Mytilus edulis: one gene and its partner. The protein of the gene in region 1 purifies or fractionates together with the protein of each later gene. This does not show direct contact. Links are inferred from orthologs where the notes say so. Each region holds a gene or a part of one and is shown on either strand. Other genes may lie near its edges.

Region 1 (10,145 bases):
AGAGATTTCTTAATCACTCATTTAAGTAATTCCCCATACTCAGTGACTGGTTAATGTATAGACTTGAAATAGAGATCTTCCTTCCACCAAATGTTTCCAAGTGGGAAACCTGTAATTCAGTGGTTGTAGCATATTTTTTTTGGTTCATTATTGTACACTTAGATTAATCAGGTTCACATTTTGTCATAATTTTGCATTTTATGGAATATCATTTTTGTATTATATTAATTTCTAGCTACACAAAATGTATATATATCTATTGAAGGCTTCACACACTTGAGGTAGACCTAGGTTAAGGGAAATAACTCTTAAAATCATCAGTACGTTTATGTCAACCATTTTTTAAGAATATATTCTGACCTTCTAGGTTACATAGATTATTTTCAATCTGTTTCAGGTAAATGCTTAAAATACATGGATGAACTTGACTTTTACAAACGCTTAACTGATTTAAAGAGTTATCTCCCTGAACCAAGGTCTACCCCCTTAACATACATCTGGTGGATATTTCTCTACTTGACAATCATACTGCCTCTTTGTTCTTTTGGTCTACAGATAGTTGTCTCAATGACAATCATGCAACATCTCCTGATTTTCATATTTATAAAAGATATAAAAGAAGATGTGGTATGATTGCCAATGAGACAACTCTCCACAAGTGACAAAATGTCATTGAAATTAACAAAGTATATAGGTTATTGTACAGCCTTCAACAATGAGCAAAGCCCATACTGCATAGTCAGCTATAAAAGCCTTTAATTAATACCTTTTCTCCTTCATTTGGATTTTTATCTGGATGAAATTTCAGGGCTAATTTTCTGTAAGCTTTCTTGATCTCATCTGGCGTTGAAGTAGGCTTCACTCCCAAGAGATCGTAGTACCCAGTTTCTTTTACCATGTTTTCTCACTAAATATTCAGTCTGAAATGAAATACATTGATATGAATCGTAAAAGTCATTTCAATAAACTGCAGACATAACTCCAACATTGCCAGAGATTAGGTTAAACATAAAAATTTGTTTGTTGTTCCTCTACCCAGAGGTTCATATATAGATTCTGTAGTTACACATATACATGTAGGCAGTCTGCACGGTTAGCCACTAGTCCGATGCCCCAGAATTGTAACGGACTAATAAAAATTTTCTAAATTTTATATAATAGTCGTATAGGGACAAGTTTTGATATTTAGTTTCTGGACTAGTAGATGAAAAAGTTTTTGGCGCAGACTGTGTAGGTAGGGAATTTTTTTTCCCAAAAAAATACTGATAACTATGAATAACAGAATAATGTAAAAACAACATAGACATTTACATTGTTATGCAAATGTGTCCACCATTCTTACAAGCACACCCGTAAACTTTGACATCACAATTAAAAAGTGATTGTTGTTAGACGTCAGAATGTTATTCTGAAAAGTTCTAAGGTCATTCAGAGGCAAATTCAGCTAAATACCAAAAGAGAATATGTTTATTGCATGTTTTAATAATTTCAAGTTATCGTGTCTTTCTCCTGATTTTTATCATGTTTATTAGATATTGTATTATAATTTGTTTCTGATATATGAATATGCTTGTACCCACAATTAAATAGCATCTCAAAGCATATACATGTATCTTCACAGAATATTTTTTTTAGATGTGCTTTCTACAAATCAACCCAGGTCAACCAGGGTAGTTCATTCAGTCTGCACCGTTAGCCACTAGTCCGATGCCCCAGTCTAGTAAATATTAATTCGGACTGGTGAAAATTTTCTATAGTCTTATAGGGACAAGTTTTGATATTTAGTGTCCGGACTAGTAGATGAAAAAGTTTTGGGTGCAGACTGTTCATTAAATCAAAGCACCAAAGGGTGCTATAGGCAGTTAATCAAAAACCCAACGGCAAACTTGGCCACGTTCAGATGAATAGTGTAAAGAATTAGTCAAAATATTTATCTCAGGCATTGTTCTCAGCTATTTCTAAAGTACCAAATAATGCTTGTACAGTAATGTTTATGTTATGCAATCCTACCACTTTCAAAAGTTATTTCCAATTTATATTTATAAAGATTCAATGTCTGAGATTATACACATACACTGTCCTATGTTAGGGGAGAGGTTTGTGCCAGTTAAGATGTTTAAGCCGCCACATTCTGTATGTACCTGTCCATAGTGAGGACCCAGTGACTAGTGTGGTGATTGTAGCTGTATATCATATTTATTTTTCATAATTGTTTTGTACATTTTTTTTAATTTTATTAATTTCTTGTGTATACATCTGATTTTAGTATGATGACCAAGTTATTGTAAATGCTCTTTTGTTGCGAGGTTGGAAAGTTCCAGGCGGAAAGAACTAGCTAGCCGAAAAGTTCTCCGGAACTTATTAACTACATTGTAGTTACTTTGTTCTTCCTCTGGTTTAAAAAGTTCCACCGGAACAAGTGACTAGTTCAAATAGTTTACATTTTTGTTATTACGTTAAGGGGCCAGCAAAAGCAATCCTTTGGGTGTTGGAGTTTCTCCCTGCAGTAAAGATCCATTGGTAACCTTCGACTGTTGTCTGCTCTAAGATCTGGTTATTGTCTCTATGACACATTCCCCATTTTCACCATGTTCAGTGTTCTCCCCAGGATTTTTGGATAGCACCAGGGTAACGCGTGACGAAATGAATTTTACAATATTTTGAGTCGCGTTGCGTCGCTTATTTTTTTCTTGTTGGTTTTTGTCATTACCTTTTTGCCTTTGTTTTGTTTACTGTGGTACTGTGTTGTATGGACTTTGGGTCAGAACATTATTGGTAGAAAAAGTAAATCAATATAACAGTTTTTATACTTTAATATCTTACTTCTTATATTTGGATCAAGCCATTTTGTCCCAATACTTGAAGTTACACTACACATTCCCCATGTTAGATTTGACCATAACAATGAACTTTGAACAAGATTAATTTTTGTTACAGAACCATCAGTAAATTGAAACCTACTTTCCATTCTTTTTAACAACAGTTTTTTTTATTTTTTTTATGCATCTTAGTTATTATTTTAAAAGTTTAAGTTTATAAATACTTAATTTCAATTGTATTAGTAATTCTAAACTCACATTCCTGTGAAGTTTAGGCACAAGATGCTTTTTTATCAATGACCCATGTGAAGTAAAAGTCTATTTAATATAAAATTACAAAATGTCTGTGTATCAATAAAGGTATCATTCTCTAAAATAATTTGCAAAACATTTTCGTTGGTATCTTCTAAGATTTTTTTTATCCTTAATGTAACATTCTAATATAATTTTGCATTTAATTTGTGCTTTATTTTAATTTTCAATGAGAAATTATATGTGAGGAGCATTTATTTGTAATAAGCAAAATCAGGGGAAATAACTCCACAATTAATTTCTATAACAGTCAAATTATTTTGACTAAAAGACTGGCGTAAAAGAGTTCATTCACAAATGTCTGCTTGTCCCCTATTACAAGTCTGTTATTAAAATTATGATCTCTTAATTAATTAAAACACAAGAGAATCATGTACATCGATTAAATCCAATCATCAATGTTAACCTCAACAGGTAAATCGATCACGTGGTGTAAACAATCTACCTATCAATACTGGATTAAACTGGTTAGAACTGGTCAATTTTCATGTAAAATTTTAACCCTCACTGAAAGTTGAAGTCATTTGAAACTTTACCGATTTTAATACGAATTTTTTACCGAAAACTTTAGCACCACGGAGAAAATTTATACATCGCGGCAAGAACGATACCACCGCGGTAGAAAATTATACATCGCGGGCCCGTGGTCCTTTAAGGGCCTGGGGAGAACACTGCATGTTCACTCTCAATTTTTTTTACGTCTCAAATTATAACTGAATTAAAATATATCTTGATTACGGTTTAACTGTCTTCCATTACTAATATCATAATAAAAAAAACACATGTATTTAAACTTTCAATAACTGTAATAGTAGGAATTAAGAAAAACTTGTTTGTAACTTCAACTTGTTGAAAACATATTAAAACATTTCTCGAGCCTCGTTAGTCGTTACCTTTTTATTGTATCATGCGATTTCTTTTCATATTATTTTCATGGGGAAATCGTTTGCCAGCATAAAGTTGCTGAAGGAACCGCATAGAATTGATTCAATAACACTTAACGAGTGTTTAAATGTGAAAAATTATAAAAAAAAAAAACATTTAAAAAAGTCGTATTTTTCTGTACCGGAAATCGAAAAGTCCTTGTAAATTAAAAACAATTACGGTGTGATACGCGTCACAGATTCGGACTTAATATTTTACAAAATATGCGACTTTGAAGTTAAATAATGCCGTCCTTTAGAAAACAATTGTTAAAGTTTTAATCACAATATTTATTGAAGCACATATTGAGCTTAATCAAAGCACGTGTAGCATTATGTTACATTGTTCACAAAAGCGAAACAATCTTAAAATGACCTTGACATCGACCAATCAGAAAACTACAATAACAATAACTTAATTTGACAAGCATGAAGGTCATTTGCGAGAAATCGGAATAATATTAACAAGAAAACAAATGAGCATACGTTTAAGATTACTGAATAAAGACGATTTAAATAATCTCAATCATTTCAGACAAAAAAACGAATAAAATGATTAATAATGATGTACCTATGTTTCATCAGAATTCTCCCAATTTTAAAAGGTACGTAAATTTCGTCTTCTATGTAATTTGAAATTGCCGCCAACTTATATCAGCTGATTAATAGACTACTGACGTATGAAATACGTATCGATGATCAACAATATTCCTACGACTTTTGCCATATGGGAAATGTAAACGACTCATCTTTATAGATTTTCGGCGATCAAATATTTCATACAATTGATCTTTGACATCTTAGCCAACAGCACAGTGGATAATAAACTATAGAAGGAATTTTATCGAGCACTACTTCCTATGTGCAACTTCAAAACTTTTGGGAAAATCGACGACCAGTTAACGTTTTTATGGTAATATTTTTTTATATTCCAAATAAAAAGTATGAAAAAAGTGTCCAATTAGTTATAAATAACATGATAGCCAGTCAGATAATAAAAGTGGCACATATTTCAGCATTTATTGGGTAGAACATAAATCTAGGGTGCTCGCATAAAGCAGCTTAACTGCTTAAAAATTACATCAAAACTTGTCTACAACATGTAGTTTAACAATATACCTTATCACTATTTGGAAATCTTTGCTGCTTTACCCAAGAATGGCAAGAATCTGTGCTACCTTAACTATTGGCGTCATACAATCACTTTTACATTGTAACATTAGATAAATTCTATTGTTACGTCAAAAATTTATGAGAACCTTTGTGATGACTAGGTATGTGGGACAAATAGCGCTAAGGTGTACTATAGTGAGTGTATACAACTTCTCGCTATTTCCGGCTGACCATTGCTGACCGGAAAAGCTGTCCCGCTTCGTAAACTTTTGCATCATACACTAAGACTTTTCCATTGTGGCGTCAGATCTTTTGATTTATGACGTCAAAATATTATGGGAACATGTGTGATGTCCAGTACAGGCGGACAAATAACGATAAGGTTTATTCATACATTGAATTGTATTTGTAGATAAAGTCAAAGAATAAACTAAAGGCTTCAGGCAGATGGGCGTGTGACTACTTGTATGTAAGAATATACATCAACTAACACTGGCAACTGAATGAAAACATGATTAAATCTTCGACTTTTGATAATAGATTATTAGTGTCATACTAAAATCTTGAACAATGGTAGCTAATATATTTCATCCCCCCTTTTTGTTGCTAAAAACCAAGCTTTTCTTCAAATTTGTCATTCTGCCTAAAAAAAGCAACCACTACGGAACTTTCACTAAAGATTTCTTGCTTAATTTACCTACTAAATTATGTTTCTTCGTTTCTTTTAAGTCTTTTAGCAATGATACTTCCTTCTCAAAAGATCTATTTTCGATTTTGTGAGAATTTTCTAGACGAACGTGCTTGTTATCGGAAGTGACGTCAGATGGTTATGGAAGTTACAATGGATTCTGGGATGTAAACTAATAATCAGCGCCACTAACCTTTTATTTTGAAAGCGAAAAACTTCTGTTATTTGTGATGAATGGTAAATTATCTATCTTGTCACGAAGTCTAGTGATAAAATATCAGAGGAACAACTTTGAAAATATCGTAAAATGGCTAAAATCGGCGCATAGCATGTCAATCTCCGAAATGTTCTGTTAGATCTTGCAAAACTGGGACGAGTACCGGCATGTTTTGTTTTGATTTTGCAATTTTTCAATGTTTGTAACTGTCTTTGTATTTATACTCTAATAGACAAAGTTATAAAGAAATTATAATATGTGTGCATTCAAAAGTTTTCTTTAAAGTACATGAAGTATACAAAATGTTAAAAAGCTTACAACATACATGTACAACCCTAAATAATTTATGAGGGGGATAGGTATCAGGTTCGTTTGTGCCTAATACACTTTCGCACCTCGCATGTTTGCACCCAAGGTCCGTTCGTACCCAATTTTCAATAAAATTCCAGTTGAATAATTAGAAAATGAAGATTGTTGTTTTTAATTGATTTGATGTAAATACTGCATGTATTTAGCTTGGTATGAGTAAAAACATTGAAGATTTCAAATGAAAAACACAAAAGATTTTATTAAACAGCTTATAGGCCCCTTTGATCTGAAACAATGAAACAAAAAATCATAGCAATGCACTAACCAAAAAATGATTAGAATTTATTCAACACAAAAAAATATGTGGCCTTTGTTAGTCTTGTATGATTTTTAATTTTTGTTTTTGTGTATAATTCAGAGTTTAGTATGACGTCCATTATCACTGTACTAGTATACATATTTTTAGGGGCCAGCTGAAGGACACCTACGGGTGCTGGAATTCTCGCTACATTGAAGACCCATTGGTGGCCTTCGGCTGTTGTCTGCTCTATGGTCGGGTTGTTGTCGCTTTGACACATTCCACATTTCCTTTCTCAATTTTATGTTGTTATAGTCACTCTTTATTTTGAAACAATGAAATAAAAGTTAGCAATACACTTAACCAAAACAAGATTAAGATTTATTCAACACAAAAAAACATGTCTCACTTTAATTTAGGACAATGACAACAAATATACTCATAGGAATACACTTGCCAAAACTTGATTACAAAGTTATTAAACACAAAACCAATAGAAATTGAGCGCGAACGTGTAGGGAGCGAAAGTGAAAGGGGGCGAACGTGAATGGGCGCGAATGGACCCAGATTCATGGGGATAGGACCTTTATCAGGAATTTCGTGATCAGGTGTTTTTAAGCTCAGGTTTTTGAGATTGACCCCTTTCAACATTAAGGAATTCTTTTTTCGAAATTCGGGATGTCAGGATTTAACATGTTTAAATTTATTTAAATTCAGGATTTCCGGATCAAGACCCCTCCTACCCCCCTCATTTATAGTCTATAGCTTGACAGGTTTATTGACAATGTCATTTATATGTTTACCACATCTTTTGTCTAAATAGTTATGTCTTGGAAGGCTATTTTATTTTTTTGCATTGATGGGTATGACTACATCATGTACATAGGAATAAAAAAATATAAAAATAATTACATGAGACAGCATGATAAACTGGAAGAGTACCACTTAAAGCGACATTGCTATATACAATATATATGCCCCCCATCCCATGCTATTTCAGTCCATAAAATCACATTAAAAATCATCAGAAAAATGTCCTCAATTTTAAAGCCTGATTGCACCATTGGTATACACCTTATAGCTACAGTGAAACCTGTTTAAACCGAACCTCTTTGGGACTTAAGATTTTCTTCGGTTTTGGCCGATGTTCGGTTTTATCAGGTTTTCAGCGCACATAATTTGATATGATGGTGCTTATGAACATGTTTGGTTTATACAGGTTTTCGGTTTATACAGGATTCGGTTTAGTCAGGTTTTACTGTATTTGGAAATCTGTCTTGATTGACATAAAAATCAGTTCCACTTGAACTATTGACGTCATACAACAATAACTTTTCTATTGTGGCGTCAGATGTTTTTTATTATGACTTAGAATTTTACGGAATGGAGGACACATAACGATAAGGTCTTTTGTACATCCAGTGTTTGCAATAAAGTTTCTAAATTTTTTTTTAAATCGAGAGTTTACGACAACACTTACCTTTATCAACTGTTACCAACCGGTCCCTATTTCTGTTCAGTTGTTTAATATGCATCTTTTGAATAGATTATTAATACATGTATATATGTTTAATGGTAAATATTTCATAATTGATCTTGTTTGATACAAGGAATATATGTACATGTATATGTCACTCTGATCTATTTGCGAAAAAAATAAATATTTCTTGACAAACTTAATGGTTTTGTTTGGAGGTAGCTTATAATTTCAAATCTCTTTACTAGGAAAATAGCTTTTCCCATGTTTGAAAAGTGAGACACATTTCACTGAATCATGAATTTAAGCCATCCTTGATGTTTGATGTGCCAAGTTTTGCTGTTGTTTTTTCCCTTATAAAGCTTCTCTGTCAAAAAATAAATCCATAGTAGAGAGAGAAAAAAAAGGAGAGTTGTCTCCATTTGGTAAAGTGAGAGAAGGAAAATAACTCTACAGAACATAAGGGAGATAACTCTTCAGGACATAAGGGAGATAACCCTTCTGGAGAGAAGGGAAATAACTCTACAGAACATAAGGGAAATAACTCTTCAGGACATAAGGGAGATAACCCTTCAGGAGAGAAGGGAAATAACTCTACAGAACATAAGGGAGATAACTCTTCAGGACATAAGGGAGATAACCCTTCTGGAGAGAAGGGAAATAACTCTACAGAACATAAGGGAAATAACTCTTTCTTTGGTAAATTGTTTGAAGAATATTATAGTGAATTCAGTGTTAAAAAAAGTATAAGAAATACTTTAAATAAATGTTCACAAAATATTTCTATCAGTAATAAGATTTCTCATTTCTATTTTAGGTGACTAAAGAAGAACCAGCAGAATGATTGAGAGTGTACAGATACGCCACAGAGGGGCTGTTGATTTTGACAGTCACTATGACAACCTCTGTGCCATGCAGGACTCATGTCCCCTTCCAGCTGTCAAAGCACATCTTCAACAGAATGTATTAGATATCAATGGAGATCGAGTCAGGTAATTATTTCGTATAAAAACAAGGTGATGAGGTATTATTATTTTCAGAAACTATCAACGAAAATACATTATTTATCAAACAGACTGAAAAACAAGAAGGTACAAAAATGTATACAACTACCAGTCACATTATGGCCTTCAACAATGAGCCAAACTACATGGTTATGGTTCAGTATGACAAAATGGGAAAACATTCATATAAGACAACCAATGACCTTTTATATGTACATTGAAATTTGGACCAGTTGACAATTAATTATTGGTACACAATACATTGTAAAAATAAAATCAGTGCACATGATACAAGTAATACACTAATTTAACATTTATTAAACAAAATAAAATGATCTTAGAATTTATTACGGGAAAATTTTTGCTTAGCTTTACGCTACTTATACTGTATACAAGGATATAAAACAATAAATCTTTTCATTAGGGTGTGCAGAGTTAGCTCCCATTAAAAGTTGTTAGTAGGTAATCAGGAAATCTCTATTAGTTCATAAGAAATTCATATATAAAAATAAGAAGATTTTATATGGTAGCCAATGAGACAACTCTCCACCAGATATCAAATTACTTAAAAGTTAATAACTACAGCGCACCAAAAGTTAATAACTACAGCGCACCAAAAGTTCATACGGCTATCACTAAACTTAGACCATACTGGTTTCAGTTTTATTTTGGACTAGCTCACTCAGTGAAAGATTTTCTTTTTCGGAAACCGATTCAATTTCAATTTTCAGTTTAAAATCTTGGAGAACTGAAGAGTTTAGCATGTTGAATGCTAAAATTTACTTTTACTTTTGATATATTTCAGAGTAACAGACTGGCAGCCGATACTAAACACACTTAAAATCAACAAAAGTTTGGAGTTTGTTGGAATACGTAGTTACTACACACCACCAAATGATGAAAATGGTAATCTATTATAAATCAAAAAGCACACAGTATTATCTGCTGATTATTCAAGTATAATTTACAGAACACACATTTTCAT
Region 2 (10,318 bases), on another chromosome or scaffold:
CGGACTAGTAGTTGAAAAAGTTTTTGGTGCAGACTGATGTTCCGTTGCTTAAAGGTACGGTACACGTGGTGAGGAAACATTTCGATCTCTCTGTCTTTATCCAATTAGCGTTAGCCATGTTTTCATAATTCTTTTCATACTTCTGGGGACTTAACATAACACTTAGCAATGAATTAAAACGAAAGTAAATTTCCGGTAAAAATATTGAATAGAAACATGTTTTAAGTACCCGGCCACGTCCACTTGTATGTTTGTCCATCTGATGAGTTAAGCCTTTTTTCAACTGATTTTTATAGTTTGTTCTTATGTTGTACTGTTATACCACTGTCCCAGCTTAGGGGAGTGTTGGGATCCCCCTAACATGTTTAACCCCGCCACATTATTTATGTATGTGCCTGTCCAAAGTCAGGAGCCTGTAATTCAGTGTGGTTGTCATTTGTTTGTGTGTTACATATTTGTTTTTTTCTTTTCATTTTTGTTGAGCCTTCGACTTTAGTCAAAAAAGCGAGACTAAGCGATCATACATTCCGTCGTCGGCGGCGGCATCCACAAATATTCACTCTGTGGTTTAAGTTTTTGAAATTTTAATAACTTTCTTAAACTATACTGAATTTCTACCAAACTTGGACAGAAGCTTGTTATGATCATAAGAAAGTATCGAGAAGTAAATTTTGTAAAAATAAAATTCCATTTTTTCCGTATTTTACTTATAAATGGACTTAGTTTTTCTGCGAGGAAACATTACATTCACTCTGTGGTTAAAGTTTTTTAAATTTTAATAACTTTCATAAACTATCCTTGATTTGTACTAAACTTGGACAGAAGCTTGTTTATGATCATAAGATAGTATCAAGAAGAAAATTTTGTAAAAATAAATTTCCACTTTTCCGTATTTTACTTATAAAAGGATACTTTTTCTGCAAGGAAACATTACATTCTCTCTGTGGTTAAAGTTTTTAAAATTTTAATAACTTTCATAAACTATCCTTGATTTGTACCAAACTTGGACAGAAGCTTGTTTATGATCATAAGATAGTATCAAGAAGAAAATTTTGTAAAAATAAATTTTCACTTTTCCGTATTTTACTTATAAATGGACTTAGTTTTTTTGCCAGAAACAAAACATTCACTCTGTGGTTGTTTTTAAAAATTTTATAATGTTCTTAAACTATCCTGGATTTCTACCAAACTTAGACAAAAGCCTGTTTCTGATCATAAGATATTATTCAGAAGTGAATTTGGTAAAAAAAAAAAATCACTTTTTCCGTATTTTACTTATAAATGGACTTCCAGTTAACATTACATACAGTCTGCAGTTAAAGTTTAATAAAAATTTTATAAAACATTTATTAGATTCATAAACTATCCTGGATTTTTTTACCAAACTTGGAAGCTTCTTTCAATCAAAAGACAGTATCGAGAGGGAAATTTTTATTGATGTTTTTCCTCATTTCTGTTGAGTCTGCGATTAACAGCAAAAGTACAGGGCTTTCCATTGAAGCCGGTAGCCGGCGGAAATCCGCAGTTTGCGGTGGCTTCAAGTGCCCGCTACTTCGCTGACAAAAATATAAATTCAAAAAGAAAAAAATATCTTTTTCAAATGTTTACAGGCAGCCGAGAGACGTATTGTCGCAAAGTCGCGGTCACGATAAACAAGGATGAAAAGTCAGTGTTTACCTTGGGCTAAATATAGTTCACATGAATTCAGGTCACTGATTGGTTGTCTATTTAAAGTCAGAATGCATCGTTTCTTTTTAAAGATAACAAGAGAGACGTTCCGGTGGCCATTGAAGGATAACAATAGAGACGTTCCGATGGTCATTAACTCGTTGGCTTTTTTGGCTTTTAAAACGTGAAAACAATCAGATTAGGATGACAATCTTATGTTATGAAATAATATCAGTCAAATTAAAGAAAGTGTAGTAGATCATATTGTTCAGAATCTGGAAAACAGTCTCTTTTGAAGTTCATTTTTCAAAGCCCACGTGGTGTTCAGAGAGGTCAAAAACGAAAGTAGAATATTGTCGACTCGACCTCAAATAAATAACATTTCCAAATGATTTATGTATCCGACTTATTGAATAGTTTACAAAAAAAAAGAGAAAATCAGGGGATATATCAATTTTCTGTCAATGCTTGTGAAATAATTGTATGGTTTAAATACGCGTAACAGTCTTTAGAGAGAAAAGGGGGGTCATTTGTTTACAAATGCACGTAGTTATGCAAAATAAATCGAGCAAGATTTTTTTAACAAATCGGATTATTGTATGAATTAATCTCCTTTAAAAGTAAATGAATTTCAAGCGTAAGGTAAAAAAAAATAACATAAAAAAAAAAAAAAAATTCTTTGAGATTTTTTTTCTTTCTTTAATTTCATACATAAAAAATGGTCATTTGAAAGATGAAATTAGGTGCCAGGAGATTGCGAGAATGTAGGATTTTGCTCTATTTATATCAGAGCTTCTGGGGGCCTTCAGCGGCCCCCAGACCCCCTGCCGTAAGGCACCAAGCTTACAGCTTGGTGGGCGTCCGGCTTTGCCGAACGCATGTTACAGCCGCCTATAATTTTAATTCAGCCTTCTACTTCAATTTCAATGGAAAGCCCTGAAAGTAGGCGAGACACTGGGTTCCGTGGAACCCTTACGAATTTTTTTACATAAATAAGGCCGTAATTTTTCTCGTTTTTATTGTTTTACGTTGTCTTATCTGGGCCTTTTATAGCTGACTATGCGGTATGGGCTTTGCTCATTGTTGAAGGCCATACGGTGACCTATAGTTGTAAATGTCTGTCATTTTGGTCTTTTGTGGATAGTTGTCTCATTGGCAATCATACCACATCTTTTTTATATTTAGTTTCCTTTTGAGAGGATTATGATGATAACAAGACTCGGCTAGTGTTGGCAGGAAGCGTCCCTTGAACGTATGGGGTTGTGCAATGGCGCGTCCAGGCGTGTTTGCGTGCCTTAACGATAACAGGGTTAGAACTCATCAAAACGAAATCAGTTGGAACATGAAAGGCCAAATCACTTGTTATATGAAGTCAGCATCAGAAACCAAAAGTTCTAAGAAGGGACAAGAAAATCCAGATTTATGTAAATAAAATTAGACAAAAGCATTGTTTATTTTTAGTTCAAGAGTATATATAGTATATATTTATTTTAGTTGATGAGTGAACACACACATTCAATATCGTCTTAATGGAAAAAACCAATACACTAAGGAGCTTGGTGGTAAAAACCCAATTTGATATTTGCTTGACGGGTGACTTAGACAGCTCGACTTGGAATTAATAATGCAATTGAAAAACTATTTCACTCAAATAGATAAAAAAAATGGAGGGGTAAAAACCCCAATTTGTGAATTCTTATCTGGAGCTCTGATGACTAAAACAGACCTTAAAAAAATAGATAAATCTATCTAAGATTAATTTTGTCTAAGGGAGTTGAATCTTTTCTTATAAATTTACAAAAAGCATCAAATCTTTCTTTTATTTTAAAGACTGACTAAATGTTTTGTTATATAATTGCTACACAAAAAATTTAATAATCTGACCTTCTAAATTTTGGGGCCTAATCATTTCCTTTCATTACAACACTCATTAAACAAATATTACTTTAATATGTGTAATATGAATATTTATTTTAATTTATTACTCAGTTCTTCACTTACATCAACATCTCTTCCTTTGTTTTTGTAGGTTTTAATACGAGCATTTTCATTGGAAGGCATCTTTTACAGCTTTCTTTTAAATCTGAAATAATCAGAACTTTTAGCACTTGTAATTATAATATATATCTAGATTCAGATGTACAATAACAATGTCAACATATCAATATAACTAAATTTTTTAAATCCTAAAGATTTTCATGAGTCATTTTCATTTTCTGATTAGTGAAACATGAAAGCAAGTTTTTATGATTTTAATTTGATTTTAGATCGCATACATGTCAGCAGTCTGCACGGTTAGCCACTAGTCCGATGCCCCAGACTAGTCAAATTTGGTTCGGACTAGTAAGTTTTTGCAAAACTTTGTTTGGCCCAATAAGAAAAATGTTAGAATATTAGTCTTCGGACTAGTAGTTTAAAAAGTTTTTGGTGCAGACTGATATTTATTGTCATGCATGTGAAGCAAACTTTTCCAGATATATTTTTCTGTAATATTTATGTCCAACTTACGTCAGAAAATTAAAATAAGCCTGAATATTATCGTTGCTAAAAAAAACATGAAAAATTTCTACATACAACATCACAGTAACCAAATTGCAGTTGAAATCTTGCATGTCTTTGATCAAAATGTTATCAAAAAGTAATCAGGAAGTGAAAAGTAACTGATTAACGTTAAAAAAATTGACTGATCACAATGATTTCATGAAATAATGAAATCAATTACAGCTGATTATGATAACATTTACCTAAAGCCTGCATGCAAGTCATAAAAAAAGGGGATTCCAACCATATGTCCACATAATTCATTTTTCAACAAAAAGGGGGGGGGTAAATAAATTAGCTCGATTAATACTGGTTTACTGTAATATGCATTTAAAATTATCAATTTTTAAAATAAAGATGAATAAATAACAGATATTGAACTAAAAAAACTGCACCGTAGAAGTTATATTATTGGCATCATCATAAAAAATTGCTAATCACACTCACAGCATCCAAAACGACAAAAGCAGAGCTGAATGACATTAAAATCTAAATTAAGATGTAACGATTAATTGTATTGTAATAATAATAGGCAAACAAAATCAAAAAGGATAAAGTATTAAATTTTAACAGACACTACTTTAAAATTATGATAAAGATGTTAAAGTTTGTAGGTTCTTTGTCGTAAATTATCCCTTAAAAATACTGAATTTCATTTTACCTGAATACTGATATCTTCGTTAATACTGTTTCAATAAGATTTCTTTACTGCAATTGGTTTCTGGTACAATATAGCCAATTCTTGTTTTCTTCTCTATGCGTGTATTGTGAAACTGCTTTTTAAAAATTCCGGGTAATATAAAATGTCATTTTGCCGTTTCGTTTTGATTGGATGATAGAAAATAAAGATAATTTTCATTGGTTGTAGCCACTAGCAACAAAACAAGCCGAAAGTATATTTTCAAGACTTTTCTCTATCCATATGGAAAGTCTAGAGTGTTTCGAAACAAGCACCTGTTCTACGGAAATATGTTTTTTCCAATGAAAAGCTGTTCAAAAGATATTTTTTTAAAGAAATATTAGAAGTGCAGATTTTTTTTTATTATTAAAGCTTCATTAATAAAACATTGTTTTAGTAAATATTGTCCGACTTCCGTTCATGCGCTAGATACCTATTTCCCAAAACAATCATGTCGGCAGACGAAGACACCGAGCTTCGTGATCTTGTAGCTCAAACTTTAGAGACAAATGGAGTTTTAGGAAAAATCAGGGTATTTAAAACCATACAAAATATTGAAAGTTATTGGTGGCTAAGCTAACATGACGCACATATATTCATAACGCCATTCTATTTGAATTTTAAGACGTTGCTGATGACGCTTTTGCATCCATGATGCATGTACTGACAAGAAGTTGGCAAAGTTACCACGGAATGTAGAAATATTTGTGACATGTTTACAAATATTAGCAATGCATGAGCGTCATAAATATTTATTTTACGTCGTATTTGTCCGAAATCTTGATTTATATTGTATTTATCATAATTGGTTAAACTATAAATCTGTAAAAAAAAAATATAAACTTTTGGTTCAAATTATCTCCCCTTAAATTAGAAGCAAATACATGTACTATGCATGACACAGTGATTATCGCATTTTAAGGGGATTACAATAAATCCCTTTCAGTTAAAGTTGTTAGACATAGTCTGCAAAAATATTGATAACAAAAAAATTCCCCAGGTATTTATATTTTTTAATACACACCTTGTCGCTATTTGTTAGCCATTTCTGGACATCTCACAGGTTCCCAGAAAATTTTGACATCATAATAAAAAATATCTGACGCCACAATGGAAAAGTGTTTGTTTGTATGACGTCATTAGTTCTAACGGTGCAGATTCTCTGGTCAGCCGGGAATAGCAATAAGGTGTCTTCTTACTTGTACAGGTCTACTCAAAAGACAAATTATTTATTAGAAAACATTGAATGTATGTTATTTAAAATAAAAAAATAAAAATTATGTATACAAGTTGGAAGTTTTTCCTTTAACTTGGACCAGTACATGCTACTCGAAGATACACCCCTATGAAAAATTATATGAACAACAGTACACAACATAAAAAACACTTGATTAGCCTGTATAAGTGGGTTTTTTTTAACAGTGCTTGTCTTAAACCAATATTGTCACATGCTTTGGATTTTGGAAACCTACATTGAAAAACTGTAAACATCAAAAGTGATCAGTAACTATACAATTATAAAAGATCGACAGGAATGATATTATGGCCATGAATTATTTTCTAGTCTATTACATTTATATGTTGGAAAGTGGCAGGGGCGGATGCAGGAATTTTCGAAAGGGGGGGTGCTAACCCAGGCCCTGGAGGGCATAGGGGGGGTGCAAAACATATGTCCCGATACAAATGCATTGATCGGCAAAAATAAAGGGGGGGTGTGCACCCCCGGAACCCCCCCCCCCCCCCCCCCTGGATCCGCCACTGAGTGGCCATTGACATTGATTAAGATCATGGTGCACATAGATCCAGATGATTGACAAAGGCTCTTTAGAATCTCCAGTTTAATTTGGCCTTAGCCAACAGCACTATTCTTTTCTTTGACTGAAATAGAAAATTAAAAAAACCTTTATAATTCACTGATTTGTATCAACCTGCTGAATTTACATCATTTTAGTTTAAAAGATTTTGAATACATGTAAATTAATATAGATATGATGACATGGACAATGATGGATGAGAGGCATATTAAACTTTTCCAAAAAACAACGCTTAATTTCTTAAAAATTATTTTCAGGCACAGCTGAGGGCCAGTGTATTCCTAGCTTTAGAAGAACAAGAGTCTTCACAGGTATGATTTTTGTATGCCATAATGAACAAAAGTCCTTAAATAAATGAACCTGTCAAAAATAGGATCATTTGCTATAAGTCTGATAAAAAGAGATACATGATTTACATACCGGTGAACCAATACATGTTTGGTGTAAATATATCACTTTCTATTAGCTTAAATTACTCTTTGCTTTACCTTTGATATAACCCTTTTAAGAAATTGTTTAGAATCAATCATTGCTTTCTACATTGTTGTACACTATGACTTGATCAGAATTTCAACATACTCATCTCAATGTATAGTTATTGCATTTAATGGTTTTCAATTGGATCAAGATTTTGCTTTTAATGTGATAGGATTATTAACTCTTTTTGTTGATGTGGATTGGCACTCGGTTGATAGACAATTAAGATTCAAGTAGATACACAATATCAATATTCACAGTCTAGAGATCACTGTAGACCAACTATCAAATTAAAAAAAAACCTTTAATATAGGCCAATATGTCATTGGGTTTCATCTTCAGCTAAATAAATATTAAAACAAATAAATGGGAGGAAATTGTTCTTATCATCAAGTATATATTTTATTTATAACTTGTCAGTGTCTGTAAAAATCAAGCTGAAATTCTGGAAAAGTAAGATATATATTGTATGTATCAAGATTACATTTACATATTTTACCTAAATTTTATGTGATCTGAATTATGTACAGCGTAAAACTTTGATATATTTTATATGTTGATTTTAATTAAAGATATCATCCTAATTTGGTATGCATACAGATTATATAAAAGTTTGAATTGTGTTATATTTGAGAATGAATGATTAAGGTATTTTCCCATTGGTACTCAGACTACATCTTCTTGTTCATATTTTATTGTCATTTGTTTATGCAATAATGAAGGTTTCTTTACTGATTTCTCTTTTTATTTATTTGTAGAATAAGACTCCATTTGCAAACCATGACCTAAGGAAATTTCTTGGTACAAAGGAAGGTAAATAATCTTGTATGACATGAATGAAACCTTCTTCAGTAATATACCAGTGTCTGTCTATGAACTACATTTTTTTTGTATATGTAGTTCTAAATCATCTGAATTTAGAAAAGAAATAAGATAATTTCAACTGACACTTTTAAAGATCTGCCTTCAAAACCAAAAAAAAAATTCTGACAAAGTTCTTAAGAGAGACACAAGAACATGTTGCAGTTTGAACCACCAATTTTTTTTATCAGTGACAAAAAATAAATTGAAAATAGCAATGAAATTCAGTTTCAAAGAAACACTTTACTCAATAATTATAGTCTGGTAGAAAACAAAAGTGCAGAGTCAAGGAAAACATTAACATATCATGATAAATAAAAATTTAAAAAAAAAGATTGCACTTATAGATACAAAGCAAATTACCTGTATTGAACCTGTAGTGTATTCTACATTCTAATGCTGACTGCAGTACTTTTGAGTACATTTCTTACAGCTTTAACAATGTATAAGGAAAAAATAGGATTCTTCAGAAATCAGATATATGTCTGTTATAAATGGCTATCAAGGAATTGAAAGAAGACAAAGAAAAAGGCATAACAAAGATTTATCATTTAATTTTGACTATTGCATGTTTGGGTTAGGAAGTTTCATATTGGTGATAAGAAATATGCTATAAATTTTGTCTTGAATTGAAGGATTTGTTAAATTTTAATTCATAGTATAAAAGGATGAAGTGTAATATTGTTTATTTACTTTACAGGGAAAGCTGTAGCTGGTTTGATAAAAGAATTCCTAGAATTTTTCCAGTTAGAATATACTCTAGCTGTGTTTGAACCTGAAGCTGGACTGGTAATTTTTTTTTGTAAATTGAAGGACCAACCAACATTGACAAGCATTATGGTTTCTAAAGAACTGCAGTAATGAAACTATATTCAAAAGCAGTATATCAATTAATTTTCCAACCCTCTAAAATAATGAATACTGAGATGTAATTTGAAATTATTTACATGTGCATAACTTTGTAAATCTATCCACCCGTTATTCTTGTGAATTCCTGTCTCAAATTAATTTATTTTGTAATCCAAATTTTAAACCACTTCTTGTGTATGGTTAGTACTGAACTAAATTCAGTATAATCCTAATATATTACAGAACATACCACATGAGTCGAGAGATACACTTGCCAAAGAATTGAATGTATCAGATACTGGACAGTCAGCTGGGCCCCTCATTGCAGAATTAGTTCAACAGAAAGGTTCATCACCCAGATCTAGAACTCCTACACATGTAAGTGTATTGTAATTTTCCAAAGGTATTTTAAAGATTCTGTTTGTATATCAGTTTTGAGAAATAAATCGATGAAAATGTTTCATTGTACTTTAAAATTTTCCAAGAAGCTCTTTTGTGCAGTACACTTAATATAAGGCATCAATAATTGTAATTGTCTGTTATGTTTAAAAATGGAATTTTGAAATTCTGAAGTTTTTTTAATTCCTTCCAAAACTCTTTTATTAAGTTTTAACGTATTTGTCCTAATATAATAAACAAAAAAAAACAAAAAAATCTGTAACATTAGTCTTAATCAAAAACCATATCAACCCTTTAAGTAAAAAAAGTTCATTGATCTCCTGCTCCTGACTTTCTGGTCATTTCACCGGTGGTAGTTTTCAGATTTATAAATATAATTAAGAAATTATTAAATTTCATATTCAACAATTAGAAGATTAAAGAATTCAGTCACATAAATGTGTGATTATCATTATTATATATCATGTTTTAGCAATATTATTGGGTAAATATAACTAGGGGTTTCAGTAGTGTTTACAGGGCACTGATTAGATATGTCTAATGATCTAATGAAAAAGGATTTAATTTTTACAATGTTGTGGTTTGAAGTGGGTTTAATTTTTACAACAATGTAGTATGAAGTGGGTTTATAGCATTTTTTTAATAATATGTTGTGTTGATAATGTTCTATTGCACTTACCATGCTTATCAGCTATTTAAATTTTCAGCAAGTTATAATTTGAGAGTTGTCTAACCTGCTTTAACTATAATTAACACTTGGTTAGGGCTGTTCCAGAAAATACTATGTCCCCCCCAGGGAAGGCAATTTTTTTAAATATTATGTGGGTGGTTGTATTTGAAATACCAAAATGCAAAGGGAGTGCTGTTCTAATTAAATTTTATTTCTGTGGGTGGTGGGGGTTAAAAAAAAGTGCCGTCCCTGGGGGGGACATAGTATTTTCTGGAACAGCCCTTATGATTAACATCACTTTATCTCTATTTATGCACCTTGTGTTGGCTAACAGATCAGTCCTGAGGAAGGACATCAGTG

What was found. The genes of interacting proteins can lie anywhere in the genome.
Region 2: the proteins of centrosomal protein of 78 kDa-like (region 1) and centrosomal protein 43-like purify together in Homo sapiens (affinity purification with mass spectrometry; 3 studies listed by BioGRID and IntAct, with this or other methods). This does not show direct contact. The link is inferred for Mytilus edulis from reciprocal best matches to the Homo sapiens genes CEP78 and CEP43.

What each region holds. Positions count from the first base shown.
Region 1 is NC_092354.1:21,994,314-22,004,458, reverse strand, and holds the start of centrosomal protein of 78 kDa-like, read left to right. Parts: upstream 1-5,979; 5' UTR 5,980-6,092; intron 6,093-8,973; 5' UTR 8,974-8,996; coding exon 8,997-9,148; intron 9,149-9,965; coding exon 9,966-10,066; intron 10,067-10,145. Other genes in the region: dnaJ homolog subfamily A member 1-like, read right to left, coding at 767-898. UniProt on the Homo sapiens protein: Centriole wall protein that localizes to mature centrioles and regulates centriole and cilia biogenesis. Involved in centrosome duplication: required for efficient PLK4 centrosomal localization and PLK4-induced overduplication of centrioles.
Region 2 is NC_092353.1:13,360,182-13,370,499, forward strand, and holds the start of centrosomal protein 43-like, read left to right. Parts: upstream 1-5,263; 5' UTR 5,264-5,339; coding exon 5,340-5,420; intron 5,421-6,959; coding exon 6,960-7,013; intron 7,014-7,937; coding exon 7,938-7,992; intron 7,993-8,740; coding exon 8,741-8,829; intron 8,830-9,132; coding exon 9,133-9,267; intron 9,268-10,292; coding exon 10,293-10,318. Other genes in the region: importin subunit alpha-1-like, read right to left, coding at 3,670-3,729. UniProt on the Homo sapiens protein: Required for anchoring microtubules to the centrosomes. Required for ciliation.